2 linked regions of the Styela clava genome follow. The protein of the gene in region 1 purifies or fractionates together with the protein of each later gene. This does not show direct contact. Links are inferred from orthologs where the notes say so. Each region holds a gene or a part of one and is shown on either strand. Other genes may lie near its edges. The genes, in order: cyclin-dependent kinase 7-like and CDK-activating kinase assembly factor MAT1-like.

What was found.
Region 2: the proteins of cyclin-dependent kinase 7-like (region 1) and CDK-activating kinase assembly factor MAT1-like purify together in Drosophila melanogaster (affinity purification with western blotting; 3 studies listed by BioGRID, with this or other methods). This does not show direct contact. The link is inferred for Styela clava from reciprocal best matches to the Drosophila melanogaster genes Cdk7 and Mat1.

The regions. Positions count from the first base shown.
Region 1 is NC_135257.1:7,017,270-7,021,205, reverse strand, and holds the start of cyclin-dependent kinase 7-like, read left to right. Parts: upstream 1-1,596; 5' UTR 1,597-1,746; coding exon 1,747-1,965; intron 1,966-2,576; coding exon 2,577-2,756; intron 2,757-2,836; coding exon 2,837-2,955; intron 2,956-3,936. Other genes in the region: HAUS augmin-like complex subunit 4, read left to right, coding at 1-436; uncharacterized protein LOC120345846, read left to right, coding at 623-1,321.
Region 2 is NC_135252.1:4,391,980-4,395,915, forward strand, and holds the start of CDK-activating kinase assembly factor MAT1-like, read left to right. Parts: upstream 1-1,563; 5' UTR 1,564-1,591; intron 1,592-1,783; 5' UTR 1,784-1,892; exon of another isoform or gene 1,893-1,896; intron 1,897-2,615; 5' UTR 2,616-2,621; coding exon 2,622-2,820; intron 2,821-3,486; coding exon 3,487-3,783; intron 3,784-3,936.

The sequences.
Region 1 (3,936 bases):
GCGTAGGCAAGAGATTGCAGATTCCCAACGAACTGAAAAGCAACTATATAACTCATGTGCTAAAGAAATATTGGAATCTGCGGAATATCTTATGAAAGTTATTGAAAAATATAGATTAATATTACAACCTAAAAGAGATGATGAACACTTTTCTAATTTACTTTCACGCTGTGAAGCTCTGTCTTTAAAAATTTCTTCAATGACTGTAAAATTACAAAAATCTGTTTATACTCGAGATAGCATTATTGCATTGCAATCAGTTAGGTCAGAATTATTGAAACGTAAAAGAAATAATCATCAAGAGATTGTTGCCATTGAGCAGCAACTCACTGAGTTTAGAAACCTTGGGGACTCATTTAATGTTATTGTGAATGAATACAATCAATTACAAGAAGATATTGAACGACGTACATGGGCCTTGAATAAATTACATTAGATTAATTGGTTTTGGTTTTATAACAAATGAAAGTTTCATATTTTTGATTTTTTAATTGATAAGCAACAAATTAAATGGTAAATCGTTTTTTTTTTTTGGTGCATAATTTGATGGAAAAGTTTTTTTAATTTTTTTCTGTTTTTAGATTTATGGTAATTTGATCCTAAGTACTTTCAGGTGGCAACTATGGATACTGATGAAAAAAGTCCAGGATTCACGATTTCATGCGAAAATCCTGTTTTTGCATCCAAAATGCATGAAATTTTTTCTGGAATTGATTCTTCAGCCTCTAACATGATATCTTCAGATAGTGCGATTGAATCTGATGATAGTGAACAAGATGACAATGATTGCAGGATTAAAAAAGTCAGCAACAATAAATCTAAAGCTCTGATAAAGCCTCCCAAGCCTGACTTCTTAGTCAATCCATCTCGTTATACAAAATACAGCTTGAGGGATACAGAGCTGAGTGACAATAAAAGCAATACACAAATTGCTTTCCAATTTTTACGTGAACTAAGTAATAAAGAAGATTCTACATCACTGGAAAATGAATGCTCTGTTACATCGAAACAGCACGTTTTTAAAATGCCAGAGCATGCAGCTGGTGTGCCGAATGAAAATAAGAGGAAAACAGACTCGAAACCGAATATAAATAGTGATGAAATTCTGTGCGATAAAGTTGAACTTGATCATTTAGAAGAAAATATCTCAGCTGCCGAATTTGCTAGTGAAATAGCAGCAAAATTAGATGATTCAATTTCAAGACTCAACCCTGTTGACAATGATGATGCCTCTTCATCTTCAAGTGGAAAACATCAATTTAAATCTATTAATAAAAAAAACAGAAGACATTTGCGTAATAAGAGTCATGATGACAGTTGAATTCTATTTATATTCAAAATTATCATAAATAACAACACTGAGAGTCTGAAAGGTTGAATTGGTATTTTGTAATGTATGGTTCTTATTCCATATCTATAACATGGAATTTGTTCCTTTGATAAATTTAGATAGCAAATATTTCAAAATGTAAGATTTGAATTAATGTTCAAAATAATGAATTATTTCTTGCTTTATTATATGAATTATCTCTTACATTTATGTTCTGATGTTCGAAGTACATCGTGTAGGCTATCTCTGATAAATTAATATCTGATTATTCAATTCGTGAGAAATAATTAGTAACAACAAAGCGTAAAAATTATCAAATCTGGTATAAATAATTTTTTTTTGTTAACATTTTTTTTCTTGCAAATCACTGTTTTTCAGCACCAAAATACCTAAAAATTGGTAAGTATGCTAACAATATGACAGACAAAACCCTTAGATATGAGAAAGTGGAATTTCTTGGAGAAGGTCAATTTGCAACAGTATACAAGGCTAAAGATACTGAAAATGACAATAGAATTGTTGCTGTGAAGAAAATCAAGCTGGGAAATAGAATTGAAGCAAAAGATGGGATTAATAGAACTGCCCTGAGAGAGATAAAGTTATTGCAAGAACTACATCATGAAAATATCATTGGGGTAAATTATTTGTATTACTATGATAATGTATACATTTTAATGCAAAAATTTTACATGTCTTTGTGATAATTTCACAGTGAGCAGTGACCGCATATGTCTTACTTCAAGAAAATACCAGTATCTGTATGTGATACTACGTGGTATTTTTTTATTGTGATTTGCCTATCAAAATATTGAGGATATGTTTTTATAAGTTCTTACTGCATAATTTTTGCATCCAATATATACCAAAATATCTTGGAGTGTATGACTTATTTACCAATGGTTCCCAACCTTTTCCGACAAATTCCTCCCTCACTATGTATAAAAACTGTTGTTTCCGTTATTTGTTCAATCATTAATGAATCCTTAGTTAATACTATTCACAACTTTCACTCTGACTTTGCACAATATGAATAGTTTATAATATATCCATAAATACAAATTGAAATAATTACTTATTTGTGAATCCACTTCAAATGCAAAGTGATATTCCCCATCCCCAACCCATAAGAACATAAGAAAATTACTACCGGTTGGGGACTTACATCATATATGTATAAGTATTTACAACCTTTATTCATATTTGCCTATTTTTCTGAGTGTTTTATTTGTGTAATATTGATTTCTAGCTTTTGGATGTATTTGGACAAAAGTCGAACATCAGTCTAGTGTTCGATTTCATGGAGACTGATTTGGAAGTAATAATTAAGGACACAAGTATTGTACTGACCCAGAGTCACATTAAAGCTTACACAATAATGACATTAAAAGGCCTGGAATATCTGCATTCACAATGGATTTTGCACAGGGTAGGTGTGTTTACTGTTGTATCTTGATTTGCATTATTCAAGAATCTATTCATTATCCCATTCTCTTCACACCTCAATAGGATTTGAAGCCCAACAATTTATTGATTGATGCAGAAGGAATTTTGAAAATTGGTGATTTTGGTTTGGCTAAATCATTTGGAAGTCCAAGCAGAGAATATACACATCAAGTTGTTACGAGGTAGGAATTAAAACCGCCTTAATTCTAGTGTTATACATCATGTTAATGCTCTGTCATTGTTGAGAAAAAGGGATGGATTGTAGTATGAATTTGAGCATCTATGAGATTTAAATATGACTCTTCAGTAAGCAACATGGTAATCAGTCCCTGTGCACAACTTGATGTAAAGTAGGCGAACATTAGTTCGTTAGTTACGTCCATATTGGACGTAAAATTAGGTACACATACTCCTGGAGCACCGGTTAACTGGATGCACTTTTTAATATTATTTTGTGGGAGTTTTCATTTTAAATTAAATTTGTATATTACAAAAAATTTTAGCACAAGAATTCCATTTGTTTACGAAAATTAACTTGTCAAGCTTCAAGTCATTTATCTTGACTGAATTCAGAGATCAGTCTTGACAAAAATGATTGTTGACCTACATTATTGCAAGTTAAATGCGTTTCTGTGAACTGAATACAGATTCATTTGGCAGTGAGGAGTGAAACTTCAATGGACACTTCCATTTTATTTAAAACCCACAAAAACTTTATAGACCAGCGTTTCCCAAACTATGGGTCGCGACCCACTGGTGGGTCGCAAAAGAAATCTCAGTGGGCCGTGAAAAGATGTAGAAAGCTTTGGTTAATTTTACTGGGTATTAGGATCGGTGGCGACTCGAATACATAAATCTTCAAAAAAACAAAAGAAATTGAATTGAATTTAAATTCTAATCTGTGAAAGTTTCCTTTTTACGATCTTCTCAAAGGAACAAAAATTTGCTACACAAAGAATGATCATGTGGCTTTTTACGCATAGCAGTTTTGTACACTGTACAGCACTTCTTACCGTGTTTCCACAAAATTTAGACAGGATTTAGATTTATTTCTTTTGAAGAATAACACTATGGTCTTTTGTGTTCATTTATCAAAAATAAAACTATAGATTTTTTACTAAACATTATATAAAAACCGACATCCATTGTTTTTATTTGGATTT
Region 2 (3,936 bases), on another chromosome or scaffold:
TTCTTTTCTACCATCTTATTTGTATTTTGAATGTATTTGTCAATTCCGTATTTGTTTTTTTTTTTATGGTATTTCATGGACACTGTTGGAAGCTATTTGCAAATTCGATACCTGTGCATATATATTTTATTCATGAGGGGACTCTCACCTGAAATTGAATTAATTGAGAAAAGGGCACTTGCTTAGAGTAATAAATTCACTATTCTTACATGACCTACTGTTCAGACTTGTATTGCAGCCTTATGGATTTACTATAATATCAGTCATTATGTGAAACCTATGTTTTATTATTATTAAGAATGGCAAGAGTTTGAATTGAAGTAAACATGGAATATGATGGAATGATAGTTGTTCTGAAACTGTATAATATTAATAATGAATACTTGAGCGTTGAGCCAAAAAATGTTGTTTTCCATATTTAAAATAAAAAGCCTCACTTGGAAAAAATTTGTTGTATACCTTTCAATTGCTTGGAATTGTTACTTGTGTTGTTGCCTTGTAAATTTGTTTTATTGTTTTATAACCTATTGCTATACTGCCTACAGCTATGACTTTCTGTGCTGTGAAATAAACACAAACAATGTGATGCCTTTATTATTTATAGCCATTAAATTCAATATCATTTTTGTGTTTCCTTGAATTACTAAGATTGTGGGCCCATTCCTGTTGTACCTATTTGCTGAGCATTGGCTGGATGTCAATAAATGAATCCCCAATAATTACTTTTCAATTTCAATGAATAAGCACTTTTATTCATCCTATTGTTCATTTCCCTGTATGCGTCATGCACATGCACCTATTTTTAATAATTTATGTTAAATTTCTCTATAGTTTTCTAAATATAGCATGGAGGGTTAATCAAGTATGGTTCATAGGTCAGTAACACATTAGTTGGCAAGAGGAATGTGCCGAAGCTTCATTCAAATTACCTACCCCATAATAGCCCAAGTGGGCTACCAAGTATCATTATAACTTTCTTTGATTATGGGTTCAGTGTAAAACAAAATACTTTGAACGAATTGAACATTAGAAATACCTGAAAAAGGATTTTTTCAATGATTCAGATAATCGAAATTATGATTTCTGTAACCAATTTCACTGTGGCGTCATGGTTTTTCTTTTGAGTAAAATTAACATGTTTTTTGCAAAGTGTGTTTACGTTATTTAATATCATTGTTGGCCACACTTCTAAAATACCAAACTCTTCAAATATAGATATCCCAACATCCCTAGTTATACGTCTCAGTGGAACTGTTATTTGCTTTTCATATATGTGGTAAGATATTTTTTCATCTGTGAGATATTGATTTTTAGATTGTGTTTCGAAAGCATGAGTTTATCAATATTCAGTGTTACTTTTCACAAAACTAAATGAGTGGTAAAATGTATTAACTTTTACCCTATTGCCGTTATTTTTTATTTCATTTTTCTTGTCTGTAGCATGAAATGATATTATTATTAAAATTATTTTTATATTGTTTATATTTGTTCTCTTACATCCGTTGTTGTTAACAGCTTTAATTATTGTTTAAGCCTGTCAAGTCATATGAAATCATAATACATTACTTACCTCCCACTTCTACTGTGATTGGTAAGTAAGACTGATGTATATATGCCTATATTTTCTCTTAAAAATGTATATAAGGCTGTTTTCATTACCATACGAGTGTGATGATTTTGTATCACATGCTCCAGTATATTTATTTAACCTCAATGGGCTAATAAACCTATGGAACCACGTACCTACCTGTACCAGATTGCTAATTCATGATATTTCATCCAGATTTTTGCATCTGATAAACTTGTGAGCCTAGAATGGCCTATCATTATGGTGGTAAACGGTAGTGATTGAAAATACATTTTCTTCATTCATTTCACAGCTAAATTGAAAAGTAGGTAAGCAAAATTTATTAGTATTCTTTTCTTAGATATTAAGTTTATTATTTTACTTATTCTTTTTGATTTGATATACACTTCTTACTATTATCCTGCGTCTGTGGTTTTATTCCACTATTTTTTATTTTTTTTTGCAATGCTTATTGATGCAATTTGCTTCGAGCAAATCATGCATAAGCAGCCACTCAATAATAGGGAGATACTATTTTGATAAAACCAAAATCTTCCCGATTCGACTTTGCCTGTCCAATATGTTAGTGATCATGTGATTTGTACCAAAGATGTGTAACTTATGATGGTAACATAGCTAAGTCTAATGCTTAAAACCAGGGTTGTGCAACCTGCGTGGCCTGCAAGGAAAATCTTTGCAACCCGCATAGAAGTGCCAATTTTGAATGGTGTGCGACCCGCGAAACGAGTTTTTACTTTAGTTTAATCTGGATCCCCCAATCTTTTCGTCTTGCAAAGCCCATGCCTGAGTCCAATTTATGTGTATGACATTACAATGCCCGAAACTAGCTTGTGCGAGGTGAAAAACGCATGTCATAATATCAATATCCAAACTTTTTGTGCCTGCAACTACTAGAAAGCCTATGTTAAATAAGGTGTGGCCTGCGGTTTCACCCAGTTACGCTACTTGTATCTGGCCCGCTTGCACACCCATGCTTTAAACGCTAGGCTATCGCATTTTAAATTTGTATTCTATTTTTTGTCTTCAGGTGAAAATGGAAGACTTGAGTTGCCCAAGATGCCGTATGACGAAATATAGGAATCCTTCACTTCGATTAATGATAAATGTTTGTGGGCATGCATTGTGTGAGGCATGTGTTGATCTCCTTTTTGTCAGGGAGTCTGGGTCATGTCCAGAATGTGGATTGCCTCTCAGGAGAAGTGGATTTCGAACTCAGTTGTTTGAAGATACAGGTTACCTTGTGTTGTGTTACTGTAAACGGTTTTGTAACTTTTTCTTTTGTACATGGAGGTTTTACTACTGCTGTAGAATGTTTGATTTGAAAAATATTCAGTTTATAATATATTTCTAACTTAATGTGTGTGTTTAATATGCATAAGAAAAAAATTATAAGCCCCTATACATATTTAATAATGCAAATCGGGCGTTACCCAATAATGGCAGAGACACTGCTAGGGTACTGTCATAATTCCATCATAAGTTTAAGTGAATTATATTTCTATCTGCAGTAGTATGAGGCAGTATTTACTTTTATTCAGCAAATTTTCCCGACACAGGGTGATTCATCCCACTTGAACTTTTGTTTGTCAATGATTTCAAAAGGTTGAATAATTTATGACGCACTTCACAAAAGTTATGTTTTCTCTGAGATGTTCTAACTGACCTGGGTTCGTTTTTTCTTTGGGTCACCCTGTTTATTTGAGAAAAGTTGCTCCATTATTCACTTTAAGTTTTAGATCCGATACATTTCTATAGGGAAGATAAATAATATGCAAAATTGCTGTAATTACTAATAAGGAACACATTATTTCCCCGCATATTAATAAGATACATCTCCGGGCCATGACTGGTAAATTGAAATGAGTCTTGGCAGTTGAATCCAGCTCTTTTGATTCAAGGTGTAGACAAAGAGGTTGATGTGCGAAAACAGATAATGAAGATTTACAACAAACAAGAAACAGACTTTGGGTCATTGCGAGAATACAATGATTATCTTGAAGAAGTAGAAGTTATTATTGACAGTCTTATATCAGGCATAAATATAGAGGCAACCCGTGCAAAAGTTGCTGCTTATAAGTTCGAAAATGAAGCTTTAATACGTCGCAATCAAGCTCGAATTAGTCAAGAAAAGGCATACTGGCAAGATCAAATAGAGAATGAAAAACGTCAAAATGATCTCAAGAGGCATATTCAAGGTAATTCAAATTTAACATACTGTAATTCATCAGGTTTCTATTCTTCGGGGAAAAAATTATGGATTTTTGCAGAATATTCAGTTCTGGTATTGTGATTACTCTTATCTTTGGCCTGAACTAGATACATGGCTTGCCACTACTCAGGTATGTTCA